Linked DNA regions of Mytilus edulis. The protein of the gene in region 1 interacts with the protein of each later gene in a pairwise test. Links are inferred from orthologs where the notes say so. Each region holds a gene or a part of one and is shown on either strand. Other genes may lie near its edges. The genes, in order: filamin-B-like and 5'-AMP-activated protein kinase subunit beta-1-like.

What was found.
Region 2: the proteins of filamin-B-like (region 1) and 5'-AMP-activated protein kinase subunit beta-1-like interact in a two-hybrid assay, tested with the Drosophila melanogaster proteins (2 studies listed by BioGRID). The link is inferred for Mytilus edulis from reciprocal best matches to the Drosophila melanogaster genes jbug and alc.

The regions. Positions count from the first base shown.
Region 1 is NC_092346.1:20,335,831-20,352,042, forward strand, and holds the start of filamin-B-like, read left to right. Parts: upstream 1-8,798; 5' UTR 8,799-9,084; coding exon 9,085-9,403; intron 9,404-14,374; coding exon 14,375-14,564; intron 14,565-16,155; coding exon 16,156-16,212. Other genes in the region: putative nuclease HARBI1, read right to left, coding at 5,615-5,626, 6,514-7,158.
Region 2 is NC_092346.1:61,318,220-61,333,984, reverse strand, and holds the start of 5'-AMP-activated protein kinase subunit beta-1-like, read left to right. Parts: upstream 1-7,749; 5' UTR 7,750-8,119; coding exon 8,120-8,248; intron 8,249-11,922; coding exon 11,923-12,077; intron 12,078-12,995; coding exon 12,996-13,089; intron 13,090-14,551; coding exon 14,552-14,678; intron 14,679-14,753; coding exon of another isoform or gene 14,754-14,880; intron 14,881-15,765.

The DNA.
Region 1 (16,212 bases):
AAGTATATTTGTTTTTGAATAAACATGTTTAAAGAAAGTACCTGTGTGTTTTTTGTTATTACTGAGCATGCAGTTGTGTAACATTGAGTGTGGTTCATTTTTCATGGCTACTGGAATATTATGGATAAATGTCAGTTATTGTAGTGAATTTTTATGTAAATTACAAAATATGAGTAAGATACCCTTTTCTGGATTTACTTTCATGTGGAATGCTCAAACTAAAACATTGCCATGTATGTAAGAATACTTAAATATAATAGGAGCTATATGACTTAGAAATAGCCAAATCCACACAAGGTCAACACAGCCTAGTTTAATTTTTTCAATTGATCATTATTGGAAAAAAATGGTCATGCACCAATCCAACCACATGACAACTGTTATTAAAAAGAATATTTCATTGATTTATGGGTTTCAAAGTTACTGCCTTTGTACAGGGCAGTAGATGCAAATTAACTGACAAGTAAGTAATTCAATGGATGTAACAAACAACTTGGTTTTCTTTTAACAGTTGGTACCTTAAATACAATACATTATCAGTACTTGTGATGCCATGTGTCAAAGCTGTCACTTATACTTCACTTGTTTGAAATCCATTTTTGGAAAGTTTGCTATAGCTTGCTATTGCTACTTTCCTTAGGCGTCGGCCTCAAACTTCCGGTTGACAGATTATCGCAATATATTCTGCTCCGAGATAGTGTAGTACTAGTGTTTGAGTTCTGATTCTTGGAAGATTCTTTTAAAATTTTGAGTAACTACTGTTTTGACTGAAAAGATTACAGCTTGAATAAAAAGAAATGAATATTCACCGACGATTCAGATGAATTTAACTTCATTTTAAAAATGAGTATTACAAACACTACTTCGCGGATCTGCCATGCGCTGTAGAAAAAATCACAAGAAATCTACGCGAGATTGCGTTTTCATTCATTCATGAATATTTCATGAATGAACATTTCCCCGCTCTACTTTTACCTGTTTACTATATGTACGTACGTAAACGTTGTAAAATCCCGAGAGTATCGAAAGAATCGGGAATGACTGATTAAAATGCGAGAACAAGTTGACATTTTGACCAAGCCGTCGGATAATTGAAAAGTGATAATGGTTTGTTTAAACAAAACACAGGTGAAAGAATATAAAATACTCGATAATTATATTATATGTCTAACGTCTCACGCCAAGGACGAGTAAAGGTAAAAATGACCGGCTTTAATAAAAAAAAAAAAAAAAATGCATTGTTTTTGTCTAAACATCGATCGGAAGATTTTGATGCCAAAAATCATTTGAAAACTTAATTCCGTTATTTAAATACTAATTGTTTCACATTCCAATGTGGATATAAGGAACTTTACTCGTTCAGCATGCTTAAGTGGATCAAAGTGACAGCAGAAAAACATTGACCCAACGTCAGTTCTTCAGTCTTCTTCCAATAATTTACATCATACCACTTCTGGTATGTTATTGTAAATTCGTATCATATAGCATCCGTATTAAAAGCAACCGAGTCAGCATCCACTTCTTCGAATATTATAGCTCAGGGTATTAAGACAAGTTCTATAGAAATGATTATAAGGTTCATGATGTGTACCCTTTGGCTAAAATGGCTGCATTTTCACCTCAAAATTTAGATAGATTACAGACAAACAGCGGCCTGTGCATCTGGAAAAGTTTTAAGGCATACCATGCCCTATTTTAATAGATTTCAATTGCTTTGTCACCCAAACACAGAGGCAATGATTACCGTAATATATCAAATGAATGGCTTAATAAAACAAAAATTCTCAAATGTTCTTAACTCATAAGACAATGCTTAATTTCACAACAGCAACTAAATGTGTTACAGGTTATAAGCACCTCTATGAATCTAGTGTATATAAACTTTTTATTCCTGTGGTCATACTGCTGTTGTTATGCTCCCACCGTATTGAGTTTTATCCTTGTTCTGCTGTAAGTATGTATGTCCTTCCCTTACTTGTACGTACATGTACCTCCGTACATCCCAAAATTCGTTGCTGTTCTCTTACTTTAGTTTGCCTTAACCAAATTGTATGAAACTTATACGCAATGCTTATAACCACAATTCACAAGTCAAGTTTGAATTTTGGTGGCGATAGTTATACCATTTTAGAGTTATGCCCCTTTACATATGTAAAAAATTGCTGACTATTTTCGTTTCAGTTATCTAACTTAAGTTCGCTCAACCAAATGTTATGAAATTTATACATTGTTAATACTTTTAACAATAAAACAAAGATCAATCTTGAATTTTGGTGGAGTAATTTTTACTGCTGTAGGGTTGTGCCTCGTTTCAAATTGAACCAGATGCTACGGTGGGCACATCTTTATACGACCACAGAGGTCGAAACCCTAAACAGTTGGGGCAAGTATGGACACAACATTCAAGCTTGATATAGCTCTGAATTTGGATTGCGATCAAATTTTTGACATAATATATAGGTTTCTGACACAAAACAAATGTCAAGATCTAACAAATCTATTGCGCAATACTGTGTAATTAGAATGTATACACAATGCTTATTACCCCATAACTCAGATCAAGTACACATTTTGGTAGCGTCATGCACATTTACAGTTCTTGAGTTGTGACCCTTTATAACATTAATGCTAGCGGGGGCATCATTTGTGTCCATGGACACGTTCCCTATTTTAGATAAAAGCCTTTAATATGAATTCACTTTCATTACATTTGTATTGATTTAAGTTACTGTAACTGTCTTATTTATAAAAAAGGATGTGGTATTTTTTGCAAAGAAACCAATGCTATCCAAAAGAGTTCAAAGGACGAAAATGTATTAATAACTATAGGTCACCATATGTTCGTCAATAATGAGAAATATATGTACCATATACATGCAGAAAGCTATAAAAGGCCCCGATAGGAAACATGTGGAGCAATTCAAACAAAAAAACTTACGTGTTAATTTACTAAAAACAAAAATTAAGGATCTAAACCAATAGAAAAATACTAATTCACAGGCCCTTGATGTTGACATGGCATGGGTACTTAAAAAGAAATTATCAGAGCTTTCTGTATATTTCAATATTTTAGATCTACAGTTTTAGGTTGCAATAGAAAATATCAAAACTTTTTATGACAAACATGAAAAAAGTGATTTTTGATAATTACTGACAAGACAATGGATTAGTTTAAAACATCCAAGCTGTGATGAAATACATTTTTGAAATAATACACGTCTATAACCTTTTTGGAATAATACACAGCTACAGTTGCAAACTTTCCAGAGGTGCTATCCAGCACTTTGATTTCACCAATCCTTTAGAACCCATGCACCATTTAAATGAAACCTTTAAAAATACATTTGATGATCTTAATAAAAACAAGGTTACAAGACCTATATCTAAAAAGTTGCAAGTCAGTTTATGACACTTAAGTTCACTTAGTTGTATTTGTTGCTTGAAAAACACCTTGTAATCCATTGGTGGAACCATGGACGTATGCTCATCTTCAGTGGATGAGGTCTTGGTTCAATCTTCAGCTGCATCGAACTAAAAAATTGGAAAGTACAGCGTCTTCTCTAAGCAAGCAGCATTTAGAAATAAGACCTGTCATTCAGACTCTGAATAATGTGCTCAGGCATAGGATGAGGTGTCTTCCTACAGACTTACCTTTTAATCAAGCATGTTAAAAGCTCTGCATCAGTGTGTACATGAAATGAGGCATGGTTCACCAACATATTCTTTTCCTCCTAAGCATGTGATATTTGTCACTGGAACACCAAATCGTCATCATCATCCTTATCCATTGGGGGTTAAAATTTGTTTTCAACAGTTAAATGATAAATACACAAAGATTACCATGTAAGACTAGTTAAGGAAAAACACTTATCAAATTCTTATGAATGAAGTTTCAAAGGAGGAATGTTTTTAAGGTAAAGGAAATATATATTTTAAAGAAATTCTTAATAACTATGTATTTCTAAACCATATGTATGGAATGATTCACGGATAACGTTGTTAATTATAACCAACATATTCATCTAGATCGATTTTGCATATTGTCTTAATGAGCAAAACCCATTCCATATATAAAAGGCTTTAGGAAGAAACAAATATGGAACAATTCATGTGAGAAAAAACATGAAACTACTGATTGTTGTTCAGGGAATGGGATCAATTATTGTTCATAGGGTGTTTGTCGTGTTTGTATGTGATTTTTCAAATTATGGCCGTTTGGATATGTTATAGTGATTAAAATGTTAATTATGAATTTCAGGATATTTACAGTCGGGTAATCATTAAGATGTTTTAAGTAAAATTCTACCTCAAGACATCATGTGGATTAAAGTGGACGACAAACACATAATTTCATTTACCCTTTATTCCTAAATCATGTATGATCCTACAAAAGTAACATGGTCTTGAAAGGAGATGTTTATGGTCAAAACAATCCTAAGTTAAAACTTGATTTTCTTTTCAACGACTTACATTTATTAAACCACAAACATGTCTAGCAGTCATAAAAAGACGTGTCAAGTTTAAAAAAAAAACAACACTTTATTGTTGTCAAAAGAAAGATAACTCTGGGACACTTAGGCATTTAGTACCGTACTATACTGCAAAAACCAGTTAGGTTGACACAGGGGGTGCATTTATTGGTAGCAAACTGGTTTAAGTTTTGCAACAGTTTTCAAAACTTTTCATTTGTTTTGACAAACCAGTTTAGAACCTGGTTTAAAACTGAAACTGGTTTGATTGTTTATTGAGACAAAACGAAAACCAGTTCTGGAAACTTATCAAACCGCTCTCGGGGCAGTTTAGTAGTTTGGTTTCGAAAAAGAATATGGCGGAAGAAGTGCAGACGAACATGACGAAGCAGCTCAGTACATTTACTTTCCAGCAATGTGAACAAAAGTGGAAAAACTTTACAAAAATATTTCGTGACACTGTTGATCACAACCAAAAAAGTGGGAATGATGTAAAAAAGAGCCCCTATTTTTGTGAAATGGAGGAAGCTTATGGGTACAAGGCAAATGTCAAACCTATCTTCACAATGAGCTCATCAATGCCATCAGCAGAATCTGTGACATGTGAGGATAGTGATGTAGAGTCTTTAAATGAAAGTAGTTTGGCAGAAGAGGGTAAAAGAAAGAAGACGGCAAGTGATTCAGATCCAACAAATAACCAGGGAAAGAAAGTAAAAAAAAGTAATGAAGTTTTGATGTTTTTGGAAACCATGAATGAGGAGTTTAAAGAAGAACAGAGAGGGTTGCTATCTGAAATAAAGGAACAGCATAAGGCAAAAATGGACAAAGAAGACAAAAAAAATCATCTTATGTCACAGATTATTGAACATATGAAAAAATAGACATACTACAATAATTGGATTGATTTAAGTTTTTTTTTCTTTTTGACTTTATTATGTTTTTCTGAGTTGCAGCATTGTCAGAGTGACATATTAGTATTGCATTCCACTTTATTCTATTGTTAAAAATACAAATTTCATTATATGAAACTGTTTCATTGTTGAACACATATATATTGAAAAAAATATCAACTTTATATATAATTTTTTTCCATCCAAGGAACAAAAAAATAGCAGGGGTCTAGAACATGTGGAACTCCATGATCCCTAAAATTTGGCCTGAAAATAATCATTGAGTTTATATTACTGCACAGTGTATAGCTAGTCGTGCTAGTAGCACTGATATAAAATTGAGAATGGAAATGGGGAATGTGTCAAAGAGACAACAAACCGACCATAGAACAGACAACAGAAGAAGGTCACCAATAGGTCTTCAATGCAGTGAGAAACTCCCGGACTCGGAGGCATCCTTCAGCTGGCCCCTAAACAAATATATATACTAGTTCAGTGGTAATGGACGTCATACTAAACTCCAAATTATATACAAGAAACTAAAATTAAAAATCATACTAGACTAACAAAGGCCAGAGGCTCCTGGTCCATTTTTTATGTGCCTGTCCCTAGTCAGAAGCCTGTAGTTCAGTGGTTGTTGTTTGTTCATGTCGATCATTTCTTTTTAGTATTTTGTTTTGTTAAACTGTTAGTTTTCTCAATTGAATTTTTTCATATTTTTCATGTCTGGGCCTTTTATAGCCCAGTAAATGGTATGTTCAAGGCCGAACGGTTGCCTTAAATTACTTGCATCCACTTTATTTGAACTCGGTGGATAGTTGTTTCATTGACAATCATACCACATCTTATTTTTATAAAGTATTGCCTTTCTAACTCAGATTATAAACAGGGCAACAGTCAAATAACAGTACCTAGATAACATTGATAATACACAGTGACATGTTATGGACCAAAACATGAAAATGAACACCGAGTCATTCATGTGTGAAAAGCAGGCGATACAAAATAAAACAATACACTAATTAAGAATTGAAAATCTAAATTTGGCTAAAGTTTACAGTTAAAAAACAATTTACACATTTTCTGTTAACATGGTTAAGGGAGATAAATATGAGCAATATCTTTTTATCCCAGCATATCAACAATTGACTGACGTTTATGTTGTGTCTTCTCCTTAAAAAATCTTGGAAATCATTGATCTCTTCATTGGCATTTTGGCTTTCTTCAATGTATTCATCAAAATCATCAAAATTGGCTAAACTAACTTCATGTAATGTGCAACAGCTGAGCACAAATTTTACCACTTCAGGCATATCTTTCATGTCAATGTATCTTAAACGCCTGAATCGACCTTTCAATGCACCAAAGGCTCTGTCGATACACATCCGACTCGAACTATGGATGTAGTTATAACGTTTTTGTTCAGCCGAAAGGTTGCCAAAGTCTTTGAAAGGCGTCATTACCCACTGACTCAAAGCATATGCAGCATCTCCAATTAGATGGGTATTACCTGGGAACATTCTCTCTTTGTTATCAGATGCACTTGTAAACAGAGGCGAGTTTTTAAGAACTCGCGAGTCATGCACAGAACCTGGCCACCCACAATAAAAATCTAGAAAATGTAAGTTTTTGTCACATACTGCTTGAAGTATTATAGAAGGAAACTTTTTTCTGTTGTAATATTGTTCACCATCCACTTTAGGAGTTTTGATGGGGATATGTGATCCATCAATCGCCCCTAAAACACCAGGGAAACCTTTGTGTTGAAAAAACATGTCAACTGTCTCTTGCACTTTCATTCCAGAAGGCCATTTAACTATTAAATGCAGGAAGCAAATCTGAACAAATAATTGAAGATGTTCGATGTATGAACTGTTGCTCACATACACCAAAGCTGTCAGCTAATTCAGTCAAAATCTGTTGACATGATGCATATCTTATGAAAATCAGTAGTTGCTTTTCAATAGAAACTTTCATGATGCCACCCTTAAGACCAACCGCTAACTGAGGAGATAAGCTTAGAACTAGTGCATCAAATGTTGATCTGCTCATTCTAAAACGATTCTTAAAGTCATCAGGTGTGTATTGGGGGATAACATTTTCAACACAATTTTTCACCCTGGCGATGTGTCTACGTTTAGCAGCCAAGCATGATACAACTGAGAAAACTAGCTTTCTTTTTGAGACACTCTTGTGAATCTGATAAAGCCTATCAATGCTGTCATCTTCTGTTTGTGTTATCAAGTCCTGTAGTAAAAGATATACTTCAGTCATTTTTGTTATGGTTTCAACATTGTTCAAGGAAACCACCCATTTGTTTAAATGTGCCTGAACTGGGTTTATTTTTCAAACTAGTTCGATAAAACCTAAACTAGTTTTGGAAACCAGTTCAAAACCTTAAACTAAAACCAAAACCAGTTTTATTTGCAATAAATGCACCCCCTAGGGTTACTCTTGCATTTGAATTACAGAATAACTTTCTAGTCCGAATATGCTTTTCGATCTGACATGCGTTCAGGGTATTTGAATGGGGGCTTTCCCAAGACCACAGGAAACCCAAAATATTGTCAGATATCAGAAAAACCTCGGTCTAATTCAAATGTTGTTGATTGTGGTTTTGAAGTGGCATGATACATGTTGTACTACAAATTTAACAAAAAAAGTTGAATAGAATAAAATAGAATAGAACATTTTTTATTTCCCAAATTACAGGGCCCATAAAGGGCATAAAATCAGATACAATTGATTTACATAATTGGTAACAACAACAATAATAGAGGCATATACATATATATTTGGAATATAAGCATTGGTCAGAATCAAGCTAAAAACCACGTATATATTGTGAATAAAAGAATAATAAAATTGCATTATACATGTATATGTATTTTTTCTCAAATTATTAACTTGACTTAATTCAATTCAAAGCAAACAAGCATACAACGCCTGATTCATGCCAAAAACAATGAAAGAAAAACATGTTGCTGATTTTTCTCGTCCTGAATGAAATATTTGCGACTGGATTTCGAGCAAACAAAAACCAATTGTCACCATATGCTGAACAAGATGTAGATTTCGAAACTGAAGGGATCAAGTAATAAATTCTTAAATTGATAAAAATAAATCAACAATCATAATATGCACGTCTATTCACACCCTTTCGATTATTGGTAACTAATCGTGTCAAATTACCTGTAAATTATTTTAATATTGCTGTTTACTTGTAAAAGTGATTGACGTTAATCAATACACCTGACAGGTAATAATTAATTATGAATCAACTAATGATTTGTTGTTTCCTAAACAAATGCTAGAAAACACAATAAATTATTTATTACATTTTTATTACCAGTCACACCCGTCCCATATTTGTTTATAACTGTAACCAGTCAAGTGTGAAAATATGAATGAACGATCAAAACTATACCTGCCCGCCAGAGGGCGGATTTTTAAAAGGTGTCTATTTACGCCTTCGCTAGTAATTCCTGCAAACCGGTTTGTTCGGACCGGAATTGAATGTCTGTTGGAACCATAAGTTCCTGTCTAAAACATCATCCAAACAGGACAGGTATTTATTGACAGGAGTTCCCGATAAGAGACCCTTTGATATCCAGGACATTAATTACAGCAACAAGACCCTACAGCTGTAACAATACAATTGTATGTTAGGTGTGGTTCAGTTAAAAAAGTGTCAAAGTTGAGAAATTTTTGGCAAAAAACTCACAATGTCAGCTCGTGCTTTAAGCAGAGAAGGACATGCAGCTATGAGTCTGAGAGGTGAAACAGATCGCTGGGTCTTAATTCAGCAAAACACATTCACCAATTGGGTGAACGAACAACTTAGGATATACAATTGTGAACTTATTGAAGATTTACAGACTGACTTTTCGGATGGAGTTCGACTGTGTTATCTTGTTGAAGCTTTGCAAGGAAAGAAAATAGGAAGGGTTATTAAAAATCCAAGAAATCATCATCAGAACCTGGAGAATGTTTCCAAAGCACTGAATGCCATTGCAAATGACAATGTTAGACTGGTGAATATTGGTAAGTTAAACCATGACATTCCTTTAGGCTCAGCCTCTTACATGTATGTTTAGCCAGAGACATATATATGTCCTCTGGATTTGGCCTGAGGGGATGACAAAAAATGATGAATTTTGAAGTAAAAAATAAAAACATGGGCACATGTACCTTGATAAATGTATAATTATAACTCTTTTGCCAGGTTGGTCCCAAACCACCAAAAGGGGTACATTAACTTAAATAAAACACATTTTTTTATGCTTAAAATAAATGTTTTAAAATAAATATTCTTTCTACTAGAAATGTACAAAATTGTACCAGCACATTACAACTTTGAAAACATAGTTTAGATATTTCATTTAGGCAGCTTACACTGAATTAAAAATACCATTACAATTCAGTGTTTGTTGTAGCATGTAATTTTATTGTTCCACAGACAATCTTGGAGTTCTGACAATTTCATTTGGAACATCTAATCAATTATGAACACTTGAGAAACAGTGGCTAATTATAAAAATCTTGTTACATGTACATATATAATTTGATCTTTTAATTGGTTTTACAGATGAAGAACTTTCAATGATATTTTTAAATGCCATGTACCATTTCAAAACTGAAAATAAAAATAGATGATTTTCAAGAAATTTTTCTTCTTTCTGTAAATGTGAGTCATTTTACATTAAATGACTCAACAAGAAAATGTTGATTAATAAGTATCCTCACATTCTCTTTGGCTGAATTATTTTCAAACCCTTTGTTTTGTAAGGTTTTATGTACATGTATCATGGAGGTATACAGTGGGTCATAATTTGCAAAATCATTCTTTATGAATATGGGGTCATCCATGTCATGGTTCAGGACATATGATGCTATCAGTTAAAAGTTTGTCAACAAAGATTTTTAATACTTCAGTTTAGAGAGTGATACTGATAGTTTCTTAAAAATTATTGTTGCATATAAATGTACCTTGATAGGCTAATAGGTACAGCACTACACCTACATGTACATTTAATTTAGTATTTTACCCCAAAATAATGGAAATTCCAGAAAGGAGTATAACTTTCAATCGTGTAGCCTTTACATTATAACCCAATAATAATACTTAAGGTAATAAAAAAATCATATTGCATGTTCAGCATATTCCTGTACTCCATCTGAGATAAATGCACAGATATCTTTATCTCCTGAAAAATATGACCCCCCCCCCAAAAAAAAAACAAAAAAAAACCAACAAACAAAATCATTAAATATATAAAATGAGATGCTTGCAACTTCAATGATTAGATATCTTGTGGACTGTAGATGTAGGCCAGTCAGCCACCCAGACTCCTATATTTTTAGAAAAAATGTGTTTATCCACAGTATCATGCAGGTTGTACATTTTTTTATTACATGTATATGAATTTGAACCCTGCACATGGCAAGGTGGATTTTAATTTACTAAGATTGCCTGTCAAAGATCATTGATTCTTTCTCTCTGGACAGTCCAGCTTCCTTTTAAAATACTGGCCACCCAGATATAGCGTAGAGTACTGAAAGTGCTGTTAAACACCAACAATGTATCAGTCATAAATCTAGCAATGAGCCAGAATCACTAGACTTTCCATAAAGTCATTTGGACTCAGCAAAAATAACAATTTTGCAACTGCAAGTACCACTGGCATATTCATTGTATACAAATTGATATGATTCAAGATGTAAATTGCATCTAAAATATCTGAAATATTTGCCACTGGATGTAAAGTAAACTGAAAATAATCAATTGCTGTGTACTTTTGAAATCTGTCAAGCTATGTCCAACCCAAGAAAAAAGAAAAGAAAATTGTTCTCTGTTGGATAGTTTTTTTGTTTTTTGTCGAGCCTGCAACTTTTGTTGCAGAAAGCTCCCTTTTTTCATTGAAGTGTGGTTTACCATTATATTTGCGTAAACATTAGGTACATAAAGACTGATGATGTTTTGGTTGGACAAATTTTATAACTGATCTGTATAATGCTCTTTGGGATTTCCCTTATTTTTGTGGAAAACACAATATTTACATTTATTAAGTGCATATGTATGCATTACATGTAATAAAAAGAGAGTGTCAGGCTTGAACCTACATGTATTATCCTACATTTATTCAAATTATGCACAAACTGATTCAAAATCTATATTAAAAAATCATAGAACTCACTAACTGATTTTTTAAATGTAAACAAACTTTTATTACTTTTAAAACAAACCCCAACATTTGGCAATCCACTGTGACTCCATCACAACATGAGCCACACATGTACATGTACATAGGTCCTCAAGTCAATCAGATAGCAACACAACAACATAAATCAAACAAGAATACACATTTGAAAGTTAACATATATTTAGACTACAACAAGAGACAGGTGTCTATAAACTCTAGATGGCCCACTGCAACAGTCTTTGGAATACACTAGTTTTAAGTTTGTCCACCATTGTAGAAATTGAATATTTCTTTAAACTTTTTTTTATCAGAAGATAGGCATTTAACACTACAAACCAAATGAAATTGTTTGAAATTGTACAAGTATCATACGTTCATTAATTCAAAAATCATTTTATTTTATTGTGATATATTTAGATACATGTACATGAACTCTTAAAAATCTGTAGATTGAAAAGAAGATGATCTCTTCTGGACTCACTAGCATGATACATGTACATATAGCAACCGCCAGAGCTAAAAATCATCTAGTTTTAACTTCATTTAGAATTTCATAGAAATAACTGACACCCTGGCATGATAGCAGCAGCCAGAGCAAGAATCTCCTTCTTTTAACAAGTATTTTACTGACTGCACTTTAAAAAATTTAACTTCACTATTGGTGATTGATTAAATGGATAGGCATTTAATTTTTGATATTTAAATTTGGTATTTTTTCTGGCCAATTTATAATACACTACAAAAATTTGTGTTTTAACATTCCTCAAAATTATATGGTTGAACCTTTAAAGCTCATAAACAATCTTGGTCAACTTGTTTTTCTGTGTCATGTTTTGTGGAAGATTTTCACTTTTTTCCCGTGGTATCTGGCTTTTATATTTGTTGTTTTTTTTGTACATTTTTGTTGTAATCTTCAAACATTTCTGACCACATCATTTAAATTTGATTCATAATTGTTAAAAATCTTCAAAAGAGCAGTTTCTTGTTCAGAGGGATTTCATAACATGCAAATGTAGATACATTGTAAATATAAAATAGAAGATGTGGTATGGTTGCCAATTTTACAATTCTTTATAAGAGACCAAATGACACAGAAATAAACATTTATAGGTCACAAAATACAGCATTCAACAATGAGTAAAGCCCATACCACATAGTCAGTTATAAAAGCCCACGAAATGACAAATGTAAAACAATTCAAACAAAAAACTAGCAGGCTGATTAATGTAAAAAAAAAAAATGAACGAAAACCAAATATGTAACACAGCAACAAACGACAACAGCAGAATAACAGGCTCCTGACTTGGGACAGGCGCATACATACAGAATGTGGCGAGGTTATGCCTATTTTTATGGATATGTTTATTGCAGAAAGTATACTGATATAAAAAAAAGAACTTAAACATATTTTATCATTATGAAAGATAAGTAACAATTCTTTAAAATTTAAATTGAAATTAATTTTAAAATTAAGAAATGATTTTCTAATAAAACATTGAAATTACAAAAATATAAATATAAATTATAGTAAATACATATTTTTTTTAATTTACAATCTACTAGTAATTGTCTGCAATTTGTAGATATTTATCTGATGTACACACAATTCTAATCTGCATTAGGTGGATAAATTGAATATAAATGCAAAATAAAAGCTGCTATTGCTATGATTATATATATGCAAAAGCATTAATAGTACATTGCTTATGCAACATAAAAGTTCTGTTATGCAACTCAGGGCTGCTTTAACGTTTTGAAGCTTTCAGCCAATGAATATTAATGAATTGCAATTGCTAGTTGAACAAAAGGATGTAGCAAATTTATCTTTCAAATGTGCTATTTTCGTTTTGAAATGTCACTTATCAATGATGATTGCCAATCCTTAACTTTAGAAATACTAGGAAACACAAGACAAAGATCAAACCTTTAAATGTTTTTGCTCTATCAAATAGAGCAGTATAGAATACATGTACAATAGTTTCGAATCTTATAGTGTGCATAGTAAATAGGCTTGGAGCATGCTAGTCATTTTTTTCACTTAAGCCTGTAATCTCTGATATGTGACATTCAATTTAAAATAATCGTACATTTGCACTTAGGGGTTTATTTTATTCAAATATGTCAACTTATTTTGTGCCTAAAAGCAAAATAATCTATTTAAAGATACTGAATCAGTAAACTACATTTTGTACAATAAACACAATACCAATAAGGTATAAGATGACATGTTATTGTATTGTAAAATTTTTCGTTGTTCACAAACTATTTAAAAGAAAAATGGTGTTTAAATGTCCCAACATTTTTACATAAGATGAAAATGTATATAGGAGGACTAGCAATACATTGTAATCCTAAATCTGTCAGTCTGTTTTTTTTTTTATATTTACAATTTTTTTTTGTTATAAATAGTTTTAATTTGGATTGCTTTTCAATATCTTGTTAAAAGTAAAAACATTTTTATTCAGTACCGTAATTCTTTTTTACTAACTTGCATTCCCTCCAAAAAAGTAAGAGAAACAATTAAAATGAAAAAAAGGGAAAAATGGAGAGTTTGAAGGATAAGAATGGGAGATAACTCTATGATAAATCATAAACTCTCATATACCATGAGGGAATGATAAAATGGTGTATATAAATTATAATTAGAAAAATTAGATGAGAAAAACTGGAGGTAGATAGCACTCTGAAACTATTTTAAAAACATTCACCTCTAATAACTTCCTTATATGTACAATGCATAGTTAGTTCCTTTTCATTACAAATTTTGACACTATCTGTAATAGATATAATGTAAAAAATTTCATATTTACAGGAAGCGATGATATTGTAACTGGAAACCTGAAGTTAATCTTAGGTCTGATATGGCATCTTATTCTCCGTTACCAAATCGGAAAAACCAAATTCCCGACCAAGAAGTTGATGTTGGCATGGATACAGGCTGTAATTCCAGAATGTGGTATCGGCAACTTTACAACAGATTGGAATGATGGAATTGCATTGAAGTAAGACATACTGATTACCCTCTTGTTGCCTGTTTCCATCTTCATTTTCAAATATAAATTTAGTGCAATGCCAGTTTAGGCAAAATATTTTTATGCTCAGCCTAAGATAGTAGAGTAGCACTTCCATTACTTCTTTGTCCAATATCAGGTTAAATTTTTGATCTCAAGCATTGATTAAGGTTGATTAAATATTGCTGCATTTTACTTTTATCTCCTTCTCACAACCCACTCCTCTCATTTTTTTTCTTCATATATTTGATATCTTTGCTGTAGTTGTAACAAAATTATGAAACAGTTTTTCAAATATTTATGTTTTTGAAATTTCCTGCACATTGACATACTTAGGTTTCCCAACAGTTGGCAACAGTTAAAAGTGTACGTAATATATCTTGTGAACAATAGTATTGCATTTAATATCAGATTAACAATGCATTTCACATTTTAAGATTTGAAGTTTCAATTTATTAAAGATATATTATGCAATTTGTGTAATCTATTGTACCATTTTACAACCAACATGTTTTGATTATTAATGTTCTTTGATATAAAACCAAATAATTCTTACTTTAGAAATGAAATTGGCCATTTAAGTCTTTGCTTAAAGGGATTTTATATTTTACATATGATTATCAATATAAAGATTTAAAATTTATGGACATAACTTTTTTGAAATTTGTATTGCCCCTACAAGGTAACATTTGTAACTGTATATATATATATACATAGATCATCTTGAATTTTATGTGAATAGTTTTCTACTTGAAAATGAATAAGATATAAAGTAAGAACCATGAGGGCACTGAAGCGATTGCCATAAAAAATTTAGATGAAACATTAAAAACATTAGATGTGGGGAAAACCAAAAGGGAAAAACCATAATGATTACATTAAATATACAGACATATATTTGCACAATGAAAAATAAACAGTAAAAATTCAAACAAAAAGGTTGTGTATGCTGGCATCTTTAAGTACAGTTTTACTATACATAAATTACTTTTGTTGTCTTTGTTTGTAAAAATTGTTATGATGAAATATGCTGTTCGTTCATTTTTGTGTTTTCTCTGTGAGATACATGCTTAGCCCTAGTCTCAGCAAAATTGATTTCTTAAATTTATAATAAGCAGCATTAAAAGAATGGAAAAATGAAAATGATGAATATCTAATAACTTTTTTACCTGTTTTTACAGCACATACTTAGTTAATAGAGTTTAATAGAGAGATATGGGTTGTACCCAATGAAAAACTACAAAATAACCAATATATCTAAGTAACTTCATAAAAAGTCCTTGATGCTGAACTAAAGAGTTCTCATCTTACAACAAGATGAAGCCAGACAGCCACTTATGGCAACTGAAGCAGTACATAGATGTCCATAGCTTATTTGAAACTACTATTTAAGATCAATAATTTTTTAATAAAAGCTGGTGAAATAATTCTACAAACAATATCATCCATGGCCAAACAAAGGTTTGTACTGTTTAATAATACAAATACAGACAAGCAATTAAATGTTTGACCAATATTCTTTTTTAACCACATTGATCACATATATGACCCTGAGAAACTTATGCATATTTACATTTTTCAGTGCATTGGTAGATTTCTGTCGACCAGGATTGGCTCCTGAGTGGAGGCACATGAGCAG
Region 2 (15,765 bases), about 41 Mb from region 1:
GTATTATGAAGGATCACAATACTGACAAAAGGTATACACGGGTGTCATTCGGTTTAACGAGAGAAATGATCGTGAAAGAATATCTAACGGCGGTCAAGTATTGAGAGACGATAGTGAAAGTTCTGGTAACGGATCGTGAAAGACATTTAATCGAGAAGACATATGAAAGGTCAATAAATATTCTAATTTAAATTATTACACAGACAAATTAACGACAAAATAAAACTGTCTGTCGAAATGGTTCAACATCAGTATGAGTCAGTATGTGAGAATATCAAGTTTTAAAAGTACATAGTTATTACAAAACAACAAAAGGCAGATTGCTTCTCGACATTTCAATGACATAAAAAATGTAAACAAACATGATTTTTTCACAAATTCGACTAGAAAAACTACTTTTATCCGAATAAGGGCACTCTATTTGAATTAATCAAATAGTTCTCATAGTTATTTTGTATAAACATAATCTGAAACTTGATAAATAAAGAACTATTTACACAAAAATTGAATTTTCGGATCGTGAAAGATCACGTACCGCATTTTTGAAAATCGTGAAAAGGATCGTGAAAGATCTGATGCTACGAAAACGTTCGAATTATTCTTCAATTATATCATAATTAATATTTGTTATTGGTATTGAGAAAAGCTAGATAGGTCAACATCCTCAATAGGTTTAAGCATTTCAAAGAAATGTAAAAAAGTTGGATGATTGTAGAATGAAGCTTTTTATTGTCATGTGAAGTACTCACTTATCACGAGTTATAGGATACCCACATTTTGTATATTGGATCCTATAAATTACATGTCCGTCAGACAGGATTCACCTGACCCCGAATTTGCCTCATTTCATGGATGAAGATTTATTGTTGTGGTCAAGTCCGTATCGCGGATTCGTTAAGCTTTAGGATAAGTAAAATCACAAAAATACTGAACTCCGAGGAAAATTCAAAAAGGATAACTGTCTGTTGTTATGATAATAAGGTGTAGATTTTCGACTTCTGCAAGGTTTTAAATAACATGGAACTCATTTGCATGCATCATTCGGCAATGTTTGTTTTATGTTGTTTAGCTTTTGGATATATACCTGTATGCTATAGCGCCAAGGCAATTCGTGTATGGTGTACATGTCTGTCTGCATGTTTCATATATGACCGGCAGAAATTCAGCAGCGACTTGAAAAATTCATTAAACTAGAGCCCATCGATTCCCAAAATGCAATTGATAGCGCATCTCTAGAATTGACAGACATTATAAAAACTGCTGCCAATATTTCCCTTAAAAGGCGTTAAGCCCAAACGGGTAAGGGGGTTAAACACTAAAAGTGGTTTGACTGTAATCTTGCATATTTGCGAAAAAACCTATTTAGTTATGGGAAAATTTATTCTCGATTTCCCAGAGATCCTGCCGTTAAAGGTCACTTTTATAAACTACAGCGCTTATATACTAAGGCACGGAAACACAAATACAAGGGAGTGCAAGCAGTCTTTGTTGAAGCAGATAGAAACACTGCACGAGGAAAACCCTAAGCAGTACTGGCAATTGATTGATGAACTTCAGGGCAAGGAAAAGGATGATAAAAGTGCATTAGTCGCACCATTTGATTGGTTGAATCATTTTAAAAATTTGACAGAACCAAAAGATGAGTTTAAAGAACGACTGCATTTTTTAGAGGAAAAGCTAAATATTCTTGAAAAAAGAAAGTGCTTTAATGAACTTGATAGTAGGATCTCTGAAACCGAAATATCTACTGCTTTGTCATCTTTAAAAATCAATAAAGCAGCAGGGTTGGATAACATCTCTAACAGTATGCTAAAATATGGTCAAACCTCTTTGTTACCTTGTTTACTAAAACTTTTTAATAATTGGCTCTCTTATGGAAAATACCGAGAACCCTGGACTATTGGCTACATATTCCCAATTCATAAAAGGAATGATGCATCTGATCCTAATAATTATAGAGGAAGAACTATTACTGATGCTTTGGGGAAACTTTTTAATAAAATTCTTGACACCCGTCTTTGCAAATTTTTAGATAAATATCAGATCATTAAAGATAGCCAAATTGGCTTCACAAGGAAAGCGCGACCATCTGACCATATGTTCATACTTAAGACCATTATTGATAAGTACTGTCATACTAAAGAAGGTAGAGTGTTTGCCTGTTTTGTTGATTTCCAGAAGGCCTTTGACACGGTCATTCACCCAGGTATAAAACTCAAGTTATTAAACATTGGGCTGGGTACAAATTTTTATAATATAATTAAGAGTATTTATGCCCAGAGTAAATCCTGTATTCGATTAAAGAATAGAGTTACAGACCTTTTCCCAACTAAGGTGGGAGTGAAACAGGGAGATAATTTGAGTCCTAATTTGTTTAAAATATTTATAAATGATCTCCCTGATTATCTAGAAAAGTCACCTGATCCAGTCTTGGTTAACTCAAAGCCAGTTCATTGTTTATTATATGCTGACGATATTGTCATTTTTTCTTCCTCGGAAAAGGGGCTTCAGTGTAAACTTGATCAATTAAATAATTATTGTAAAGATTGGTGTATGAAAATTAATCTAAAAAAAAAAACTAAGGTGATGGTATTTAACAAAGCAGGCAGGCATATAAAACATAATTAGATAGAATGTGTTCAACATTGTAAATATTTAGGTATAACATTTAGTGCATCAGGATCTTTTTCCTTTGCTCAATAGGAATTGTACAATAAGGCATTGAAAGCATACTACAAGCTACGAAAGGACTTTTTATGAGGGGGAGGACAGGGGGGTACCCTTCTCCCTTCTCCCACCTCTCTTCTCCTTTCTCCTACCCCCGTTCTCCTTTCTCCCATTAGAATAAAACATCTCCTTTTAAGATATTTTTTCTTGAAATATTAGAAAAAATTTTAAAAGGAGAGATATTTTATTTTTTCTCCTTTCTCCAACTTTTTCTCCTTTCTCCCAGCCTTCCTCTCCTTTCTCCCACCCCCTTTCTCCTTTTTCCCACCCCCTTTCTCCTTTCTCCTACCCCCTTTCTCCCGGTCTCCCTTATCCCTGTCCTCCCCGGGTCTCTAAAAACACCGCAAAGGACCTCCTTTGTGCACAAAGGAGCACAAAGGAGCACTAAGGACCCTAAAAAAGTTTGATAAGAGCACAAAGGACCTGAAATTCCCTTTAAAGCATAAAAATATTATGATTCCTGAAGAAAAATGTAAAAAAAATAAAATAATTTCAATAAAAATTGCGATTTTTATAATGTACGATTGGATGTTATCACCGATATCGGATTGGAACCGACTTTATATCCGGGAAAGTGATACATGTAGCTCATGTATGTAAAATTTTTAATAGTTGTAATATGATATAAATGATAAAAACGTCAATTATTATTCTTAATATTTTGTTGTTGTAATATATTTTAAGATAACAGACTTTACCAAAACTACGATAATTACGTAAGGATACCGATGTTTCATCATCAGCTATAGCTTTCTTATGTATGGTAGGGTCGAGGGTCAATACAGAATTATAATATTTTAATGCTTTAAAGGGAAATTAAGGTCCTTTGTGCTCTTATCAAACTTCTTTGAGGTCCTTAGTGCTCCTTTGTGCTCCTTTGTGCACAAAGGAGGTCCTTTGCGGTGTTTTTAGAGACCGGTCCTCCCCCTCTTTTATCACTGAATCCCAATATTAAAAAAACCCTCAATGTATTTGATCATACAATTAAACCCATTCTTTTGTATAGTTCGGAAATTTGGGGCTTTTTTAATCCTTTCAAGAAAAAATTTAATTCTCAGACTTCTACAGTTGATCAAGCCTATCCTAAACTTTTTTCAGAAAGATTACATATGAAATTTTGTAAATTATTACTAGGTGTGGGGAAAAGAGCAACAAACCTTGCCACTCTTTCAGAACTTGGGAGATTTCCTTTACATTTTGATATCACCAAATCTATGATCAGATACTGGCACCGGCTTGAAAATTTGGGTTCATCCTTTCCCTTATTAAAAGATGCATATTTAGAGTCAAAACTATTATTTGAATCAAAAATTTCCTCTTGGTATGGATCTTTAAACTATTAGCAAAAAAAAATTAATGGGGTTGACAGTTTAACCTTTGCAAGCAACTTTAGATTCAAAATTTTAATTAAAAAGTTTTTGTATGAGCACTATGAAATACAGTGGAGAAACCAAATGCACAATTGTGCTGATGGGAAGCTTTGTAGCTATAGCACTTTTAAGACTCATTTTGGTCTTGAAAGATATCTTACTTTATTACAATCACCTGAGCAGAGGAGAAATTTCACTCGATTGCGTATTTCTTCTCACAGACTAAAAATTGAACAAGGTCGCTATCAGGGTACTCTCCGACAAGACAGAATATGTCTCAGGTGCACCTCAAATGAAGTTGAGTGATGAAAAACATTTTGTATTCTCATGTACATCATCTCAAGATAAGAGAAATTATTTGAATTCCACTATTGACTCACTATGCCCAAACTTTAAGCATTTGATTCCTAGCCAAAACTGATATGGCTTCTTAATGTAGAGAATCTTGATATTTTGATATCTGTCTGTGAGTTAATTGATGAAGATAAAATATAACTTAAAAGATTAATATTTAATCAGGCTTTCTGCACTAGGCACGAGGTTGGCATGGTGGGGTACAGGACACATCGTACAAGTTCTATTACCTTCTTGTTTGTGATATTTTATTTAAATTTTTTGATTAAACTGGTAATATTTTATCTTTTTCGTAATTTGTGCACTTTGGCATGTCAATTAGCATTGTCCCTTAGTGCCTCTTGCAGTTGTGTCACTTTAGATAGTACTGACTCCTCTGCACCAGGCACGAGGATGACTTACCATTTATGTGCAACTTCTTACCATATCTAACCATATCATTAATGTCCCTATACACATTTTAATATGCACCCACCATGCCATATAGCACCGTCCCTTGGTGCCTTTTGCAGTTCAGCTAGATATATTTAGCCTACTCACAGTATTCTTTTTTGTTACTTTCCAGAGGTGTGCCTGAGACAAAGGTTTTATATATATACTAATATGTGAAAACTGTTGTTTCTTATTTGTGTTTGTAACTATGTGTTGTTTATTATATTTGTAAAAGAATATTATATTACAATGATATTATATTATGCTCCTTGTGAGCCCATTTTATGGAAATAAAGCATCTTCTTCTTCTTTTTCTATGACCATGATGACGTCAATTGTATTTGATATATTGAATGATAGTAAGATGTCTATGTCTGGCTGTCGGTCAGGGTTCATATACTTTTGACCTTATGTTCCCGGCGAATTAATTGGCCAAGCATAACTTTTACATTTGTCAGTTTCTAAGGCACTGTAAGGATCTGAACACTTTAATTTGGTGTACGTGATATTTGTAGAGATCTGTATGGCATGGTTCATCTAACCTTGAACTCATTTTATGAACCATTGACAATATTAAGCGCATTTGACACTTCTTGGAAAACCCTTGATATTATAGACGTTCAACAAATATACAATCATGTGTAAAGAAGACGAGACATTACAGCATTTGCGATCTGGTATTCTATAGTCTGTAGTATGTAGTTAAATCAATCCACATTTGCGTTGTGTATAAAGAACTTAAGAAAGTACTGTTGCACAAAGTGTTGGTTATCGTTCAATCTCAAATTACCCATGAAAGATGCTGTTTTGCTGTAATTTTTTGTTAGGTGGATATCATTTTGGTTTAAACGTTGCATATCCATATTATTGGCTAAATAGTGTCGGTCTTTCTAAATTGCACTTGACCGATTCCCAGAGCTGAATCTTTCACACTTATTTAGACACGTTTATTTGTTGTTTTTTTAAACTTCGAGGTAAAGTGTGAATAAAAAAAAAAATAGCTCTAATGTTCATCCTTATCAAAATAGTTACAGGTTTCAACCAGTTGCAGGTTTATCAAATGGTAAAAGCAATACTGATTTCTGATTACTAGTATTAATATGTCTGGTCACGCATTATCTTTCACGATAAAAATAATGCGTTGCCTGATCTTTCACGATCAAGGATCGTCAAGTTTGATGGAAATTCAACAAATTCAAGGTTTTCATATACAAATTAATGCTTATAAGGGAAGAACATACTTTAATTTTACTGTACTATCAGATACACCAAAGATTAAATTTCAAATATATCATGATAAACTGAAATATGACCATTATAGGTACAAAAAGCGTGTTATTTGTAATTAATTTCTTAGACATGCATTGCGCCTTTTGTGTTTTTTCATAAAGTACTGCATATTTTCTTTATCTTATTTCACAGTTATGTTGAGGATGTTAACTTGACCATTTTGACAGACATATTTTTTTGTTCGGATTTGTTCCGCGTTTTGAAAATTAAACGATTTTTTCAAAGATTATGAACTGGAATTTACATTAAATGTCTTTCTCGATCCGTAACCAGAGCTTTCACGATCGTCTCTCAAAACCGTTGACCGTCGTTAGATATTCCTTCACGATAATTTCTCTCGTTAAACCGAATGAAACCCGTGGTATAGGTAACTTGTCTTTTTCAAGCAATTATTTATGCAAAATTCTCAGCAGGCTCGTGAGTATTTTTTAGGCTAGTAACCGTTACGGAGGAAACAACCATTTGAACGAAAAGTAAATGAAATGAAAGCCATCCATCGAGAGTTAAGTTATTTTGATATTGGCTTTTGTACAAATACATAAAAGATAAAGATTAAATATAACATTCATTGTCTTTTTTTGAATAAGAGAACAAAAGAATTTTTTATTATTATCCATTTTTAGACCGTCGGTATCTTCTAATTTTGAACGAGTCAAAAAATGTATAAATATATATGTATATATTTGTTTCTATACTTTTATTAGACTTTTACTACCGAGACATACATGACGTGTATATATGCGGTCTCTGGTGGCTTCATGCGACCTTTGGCTTTAGCGAAATTTCCTATGAAATAAAGTCTCCAACCGCAAATACTCTACGATATCTTTTACTCGATCAGTATTACAGCGGTCAATGCTTTACAGTATTCTATTATCAATGACCGATGTGGATAGTAAACCAACAATTGATAATAAATTGTAAACAAACGTTGTTTCGAATATATTTATGTACAAATATATGTAAGTATGATATTTTAAAACAGGAACATTATTATAGAAAACGTGAATAACGGATTTTGGAGAGAAAAAAAATTGAGGTGGAGGCAAAATGTATCTTAATGTCTCTAACGTTAGATATTGGAACTCCGTCACATTTTTTATTTTTTTTATACTCAGACTGAAAAGAGGTTCAATATAATGCCCTACGATCTCAGGATTGAAGTGATGACGTCATCATGTGACACCTTATCGCTAATCCCGGCTGACCCTGCCGCTTGAACTTTTGACGCATACAACAATCACTTTTCCATTGTGTCGTCAGATATTTTGTTTTGTGACGTCAAAAAATTACGGGAACCTGTGTGATATCTAGTAATGGCGGACAAATAGCGATAAGGTGTATTATCAGAGGCAGACATGCGAGAATGCAATCATTCTTTCATTCACGGCTCTGCGGGTAAATCGTTAAGTACCTTCTTTGCGGGAAGTAAAGGGGCGTTAAAATTAATCATGAAAAAAAAATGATTTCGATGATCTGAAATAAAATGATGTCTGAGTCAGCCTTACTTTGAAAAATGAAAGAAAGTTCAAATAGAATTTTAACGGATTTTAAAAGAAAAATCCGTACTTGTTCTACCATTTACTATTTCTGGCATGCGTACCGTGGATTCCACCATATTTGTTTACTTTTTGCAGTCGATTCAATCAAATTTTTTAAAATGTTGACTTCAGAAAAGATAAAATGATGTAAAGATTAGGCAAGGAACATCGGATTTTGTCCTAAAACTTAAACGAAGTTAAATTTTGGGATTAGGTCGTTCTAAATTTTGTAAAGACACGACACGAGGTGATCGACCACCACATGACAAGTGTCGGTCATATATTTGTTGTCTTTACTTGGATATAATTTACAAGTCAACTATTGATTGCACCTAATGTATCAGTCATAGTAAAATATTAATTTGAGACATTTTTAAATCCGATGTGACACTACAATCTAGAAGAATGGGCAATACATCACAAAAATCTCGCCATGTGTCTGGCGATGAATCTGGACCTCAACTTGTAGCTGGAAGATATGGATATAGCGAAAAAGAATTTGATCACATTCAAGTGATCAATCCTAACATTAGGGTAATTCTTTAAAATTATTTTTCTAGTTTTCCTTCTAGTCTTTTTAGTAAACATGTAAATATTTACTTGATGTCTTGAGTTGAAGGTGAAGGTCATATGCCCAATGATTAAAAACAATTTTTATCTTTCTCATTTTTTTAGATTCAGATTTTCTTCAAATATTTTTGTATAAGTTTAAACTGTGAATCATTTCATGAACTAATTTATTCAGTAAGAAATTGAAAAAAAATATTTAGATTATAAAGTTGACATTTTTATGATAATTGTGTCATGTAGCCCCAAGTAGAAATGTGTACTATTTGACATTGAGGAAGGTTACCATTTAGCATATAAATATAAAAGTAGAATAACATTTTGACTTTTGAAAAGAATGACCTGCATCAAATGTACGTGTAAGTTGTAGATGACCTTTTCTTTATATTTTGTTTACAATCATACATATACCTTTAGACACAACGGTACATTGTTTATTGATAGATTTGTAAATTAGAATTGTACAGTATTGTAGATACATGTTTATGATGTATTCTATTTAATATATGGTCCCATAAATAGAGATGTAACTGTTAAATTGCAGTCTAGTTTATTTGGTCCAATAAATTTACTTGTGTTGTAAAATTGTAATTTTTTTTCAATCCTTACTCTATATATATTAATTTAAAGGTTAGATTATTTACAAGTGTTCATGTATGCTAATCAGGTGACAACAAGTAAATTGATGCCATTTGTACATTGTGATTGTACTTTATAAATATATAACAGCTCCTGTGATGGCTATGAAAACTGGTCATGTACTTAGTAATTAAGTTAATACAATGTATACACAATAAATGTACAGAATCCTTACTAGGATGTTTTTTTTTATGCCCCCACCATAGCAGAGGGGGAAACAAGTTTTACTCTTGTCCAACAGAGATGGATCTGATTACATCTGACTACAGTGAATTTAAAAAAAACTATTTAAGTGATGAGAATGAATAAACGTTTGATATAACAATAGCATTTTTGAGATTTATTTGATATGCTAAAAATTAATAACTTCAAACTTCGTCAACATACAAGTGTATATACATGTACATGAACATTGTGTCACTGGTTATGACCCATAACATCATTAATGAGTTTGGTGTTTGTCTTCTGACCTTTTCCAGACTTTATATGTACGCTTATTGTCCGTCAGTATGTCCAAAAGTTGTTTTCTGTTCTCTAACTTTAGTTTGTCTCAATAAAATGCTATGAAACTTGTACACAATTCTTACAAAATGTATTACCACAAACCACAGATCAAGTTTGAATTTGGGTGGCCTCACTTTAACCATTCTAGAGTTATGCCCTTTTTAATAATTTTATTGTGAGTTATTTTTTACTCAAAACATCATTGATGTCTGAATTATTTTGACTTTGATTGAATAAAGGTTTATAAAGAGACATGAGAGTTTGGTGTTTGTCTTCTGATCTTTTCCAGACTTTATATGTATTTCTAGGTGCAGTTTCTGGCAGATACATTTTTTGTACACATACGTTTATTGTCCGTCCGTATGTCCAAAAGTTGTTCTCCGTTCTCTAACTTTAGTTTGTCTCAATTAAATGTTATGAAACTTGTACACAATTCTCACAAAATGTATTACCACAAATCAGAGATCAAGTTTGAATTTGGTTGGCCTCACTTTAACCATTCTAGAGTTATGCCCCTTTTCATATTTTTATTGTTAGTCTTTGGACATTTCACTCTATTGTATTAGTTTGTCCCTACAAAAGTACATGAAGCTGGTTATAATGTGTCTATTATTGCATATACAAATGTATACAATATATTAATCAATGCATCATTTATTTTATCAGCACCATCTTTGAATTTTGAGCTTATGTAAAATTTTAGAAGTTTAAAAAATAGATACATGTATTTGTATAATAGTGTAACGTGTAACCGGGCGGGGACGTTTAGATAGTTTTATCCTCGGGTTCATACCAGTTTCCTGGGATTTGAAAAGCAATTCAAAAGTTCGAAAGTCAATTAAAATGTTACACTATCACTATCAAATATGAAACAAATACTATACTACATAAAACGAATTTCAACACCTATCAACCTGAACCAAACTTGTTGAATTAAAAAACTGTTTTAAAACCCTTTCAGTCCAATACCGTTTAAAACCAACTGTTTGAAACTATAGTCTGAAACCTAAATGTATGGAACTGGTTTGAAACATAAATGTATGAAACAGGTCTGAAACATAAATGTATGGAACGGGTCTGACGGTTTGGAACTATTGTCTGAAACCTAAATGTTTGGAACTGGTCTGAAACCTAAATGTTTGGAACTGGTCTGAAACCTAAATGTATCAAACGGGCTGAAACCTAAATGTATAAAACGGGACTGAACCTAAAAGGTATAAAACTTTATTTAATAAACATTTCTATAACTGTCGAAACAACAGGGTAGCACTAAGGCATGGTATGTCAGCAAACACTCACTGCAATAGTGAGAGATGTGAGACGCAAAACCTTAGCACCAGCCCTGTTTGGACAATTTGTACCGAACCAACAGTCTCAGCCCATTCTCTATTCTGTCTGCAGGTTCCAAGCACTTCACTTTACTTAAACTAAACCTTCTGCCTGCTATAAACTACTTCCTTTCCGATGTTTACTGTCTGCTGTCTTCGGTACAAATGACAATTTACACTGAATAGCTACCCACTATTTATACTTCTAACGCGGACCTCGAAGAGAGCACCCTAGCAACAACTGTACAGGTAAAGCGTCTGATAGCAACCAAGGATAAAGGGATGATTTTAGATACAGTTTTCAACGATAAAAAGATGATATGGGAAACTAATATAGATATCGGAAATATATAACCGTAGAACTATTATTATATTCTTAAACAGTAAATTCGTAACAATAGTATTTCCATTTGCAAAACTTTTCAACTGTTAAATAAATTTTTTAAAATGTTGATTTTATCTGCTGCAATCCCTGAGTGACTACATGTATGTACATGTGTACCTGTTCATGTCAGACATTAGTCACTTGGAATTGATCTACAGTAATTTTATTGTTCATTGAACAACAGAATGTACATGTACAGTAATCCTCTTGACATACATTACATACATTGTTTGTTGTATGTACATGTATCTTCTCTACAAGTAATCAATTTATGCGCAAATCAATAGTAGGCATGCTATAATATAAAGTGATTGCCCATCAATGAATATTCCCCCCCCCCCCCCCCCTTTTTGTGTTTTTGGCAAAAGGTCAAAAACTAAAGAAGTTGGAGAGAAACTGCAAAGAGAAAAAAAATGATCAGCAATACAAGATCAACTTTCATAATGTACAAGTCTGTCTGGGACGGTTCATCTAATGTATAATTTTGTGGACTCAATCTGTCATTAGATGACATGATATAATACATGTATCTTTGTACAAAATGTAGCTTAAAAATATATATATACATGTACATTGAACTACATTCAATAGATGCTGCCAATTTTTTTTTTATCCGCACTCTTTTATGGTAAGTTTGAAAAAAGATGTAATTCTTTAACATTTCCCTGTTGCTTGATTGTTTTTAATTTGGTTTACATGTTGGAGAATATATAATTCTCCTAATTTATCAGGTCAGAGTAGAAGGGCAATAATTTTATCAAAAAATGTTTTTTTTTGTCATTTAGCGACCAAGAGCCGCCACAACACTGAGTCAGGGAGCTGATATGGTTTACCAGACGCCTAAACTTTTACCAGCAGTATTCAAATGGGAAGGTGGCGGAAAGGATATTTACTTAGCTGGAAGTTTTAATAAATGGGCCAAAATACCTCTTGTCAAAAGGTTTGTAAAGAAAAAGATTGAACTATTCAGTTATTCAGGACATTATATATACCGTACACCAGGACAAACTGTGCATATTATCTGGTATCTTAGATTGTTTGTATTGGTGTAACATGAAGAGGAATAAAGCTACCCACCAAAAATATACCATAATCCATATCGCCTTCATTTGAGCAGACCCATGTGGGATAACTGATGACTCATAAACAATAGAAAGTCATTTATCTTGTTTATTGTAATGAAAGTAAAAAGGTGATTATTTGATAACTTCAGGTACATGTAACATGTATAAACTATATTTTTAAACCACAAACACAATTTTTATTGTGGTTAACAATTATTGATTGTATAGATATGTTATATAATTAGATAATTTGTATGAATATAAGGATTTGTGGGGTGTATACATGTACGTTCATAAAACACCATGCAAACAACAAAAAAGGAATTGTTTTGAATTATTGATTGTTGGCTGTTTAATTTTTCAGCACTATAAGCTTTGTCATTGAGGACAACTTAAATTGGTGGAGATAACTGGAGTTGTCTGACTTTTGGCAGCAAAACAAACAATCCTAATCTATTGGGATTGGAGTCTAACATACTTGCTACATATGGGGCCCCTTAACCTTAGTGTTAACAGGCTAATTAGTATATATACATCAGATGAACTACTTAGACCACTTGACAATCAGGACCCCTAAGTCATTTTGATGAATATAAGTTTAACATGTTTAACTTTAAAAAAAAAGTAAAAATTGTATACCATACAACTGTATAATGATAATTTTCATAAGGGTGGCTTGGCATGTTAGATTCGTTTGAAATTTGTTAATGCTAGCTGCAGCTTATTGGCTAGGTGTGTTATAAGAATAATGCTACCTTGCATATTGCATATTTCAATTCTTTTTTCTTTTTCAGTCATGGTGATTTTCTAACAATTATAGAATTACCAGAAGGTGAACATCAGTACAAGTTTTTTGTTGATGGGTCATGGCAGCACAACCCTTCAGAGGTAAATATCTACTTAATTTTTCAGTTTCATTTGATCATCATGGTATTGATTGTCACATGTACATGTATATGATATTACCTATTTGATATTCATAACCTTAACATGCATAACAAAGCCTTCATTTAGTTTTAAGATTGAAGCATGCACAATCTCTGCAAGACATACATGTACATGTAGATGTACATGTATATACAGGATAAAAAAGCAGAAAAAATCAACAGGACATTCTAATTCTGTGAAAAAATACTGATTTAGCAATTGGATTTTTTTCAAAGCCAGTTCTATCCAAGCCTAAAATTACACACAGATGATAGAGCATGAGTGCTGGAGTCGGTTTCACAAAAAAACTTGCGACTAAGATTGGTCATAAGTCATGAACAATTCAGTATACTTACAATCAATCTTAGTCGTAAGTTTTTTTGTGAAACCGACTCTTGGTGGTTTCCCAAGAAAAATCTCAATGTGTACATACATTTATATTGGTATATGTTCATTAGAAATTACAAAAAAATGTATATGACAGGATCAAGTGTTAATGTGCCATTCACTATAATATGAATGTTTCTCATTGATTCATTGGACATCCTGATAGAGGATGAATCATTCTGAGGATACATGTACTTTCAACAATTTAATGTTGATCTATTCTACAGAATATTATCCCTCAATTATATAAAGCATAAACTTTGTGTTTTTTCTCAAAAATGATGTCTGATGTTCCTTCTTACCTACAATAAACTTTGAAAGAAGATTTTTTTCAAGTATATATTCTGATTAGAAACATTGTGAAAAAAAAAATAGATATGGATTGTCCTTCAATGAGTAACTTTTAAAAGACATAAGACATTTTATTTCACTAAAACCCCCACATGGGGTATGCTAGTACAACATTTTTTAACAAACAATAAAAGTGTGAACATATTTACATTAGAACAACATTGTAAATAAAGGTTCAATAATAGTATATATAATTAATACTGATATTTGACAAATAACAGTAAAATGATTAAGCACATCTATTAAAAGGTTTTAATAACACTTTTGCAAAATTTTGCTATTCCAGTAAGTGTAAATAGATCTGATGTAGTCATCAGTTCTTTAAATTTTAAAACATTTGGGTTATTACATACATTTAAAGGTAAAAGTTTAGCTCTTACATTGTTGAAAAAGGTAAATTTGAATAAGTAATGAAACTCATCACCAAGTTCATTAGCATTACAAAGACTTTAGAGTATCATCTATAGTTAATTGATCAGAGTTGTTCATCTTGTCATTGTTAGGTAGATATAGAGTTTGGAATCATGTTATAAATCTAACCACTCATTATCAAAATTTTCATTAATATGTATTGCAAGTATTGTTTTTGGATGATATTCAGTGTGTTAGACTTGTATGTATATGTATACACTTACATGTGATACACTGTACACAATGCACACATAACATTTTGAATACATTCCAGCCTACAATGAAAGATAGTCAAGGGAATATAAACAACACAATTCAAGTTAGAAAGGCAGATTTTGAAGTGTTTGAAGCTTTAGCTTTAGATAGCCTAAATGTAAATAATTCTAAAAAAGACAAAGGACGTAAGTACTGAATTAGTCTATACTTATATACGTAATGTGTGTAGTACAAATCTCAAAATTTTAAATACATTCCAGCCTGTGTTGACAGATACTCAAGGAAGTGTAAGCAACTCAATACAAATTAGGAAAGCAGATTTTGAAGTGTTTGAAGCTTTAGCTTTAGATAGCCTATATGTTAAAAATTCTAAAAAAGACAAAGGCCGTAAGTACTGAATTAGTATATACATGCATAACCTTTCAGCAATGCCACTTCTAGCAAAGTACATATATTTGGGTGATTTGGGATTTTTATGAAACTGTATGTAATATAAGAACTTAATTAACTGCATGTGAATATTAATAAAAAGTATATGTAGCTGTCATACTTCAGGCTGTTCCATTAATTCATATATGATACCCAGGGAAGGCACTTTAAAAAATGGGGTAACCACCCTTGGAGGCATATTTCATTTTCATTTCCCTTATGCAAAAAACAAAAGATGACAACATCCATAGATGAGATTTAGAAATGCTTTCCCTTGGTCCCATGTATGGCCCTTGAAATACAGTCAATGAAACATTTGTTATATATTATAGGTCTGTAAATGAAAAGGAAAATGTGTGAAAAGCAGAAAATTTTCACTTTGAATTGTGAATTCTTTTGAATCTGTCCACAGGAATTTGATTAACTAAAAACAGTTTAAATAAAATTGAGAAAGGAAATGGGGAATGTGTCAAAGCGACAACAACCCGACCATAGAGCAGACAACAGTCGGCCAGCAATGGATCTTCAATGTAGCGAGAATTCCCGCACCCGTAGGTGTCCTTCAGCTGGCCCCTAAAAATATGTATACTAGTACAGTGATAATGATAATGATAAAAGTAAACGCATAACAATACGCACATTAAAATTCAGATCAAGAGAAGTCCGAGTCCAATGTCAAAAGATGTAACAAAAGAAAATAAATAAAACTAGAATTGCCATTGCAAGCAATAGCAGATGTCAACCTTCCCCCTATTGCCACTAAGCGGCAGCCATTTAAAAAAATGTTTAACATCAAGTTTCATAAAGTTCAAAGCATTTTGAAAATTTTTGACATTTTTGCAG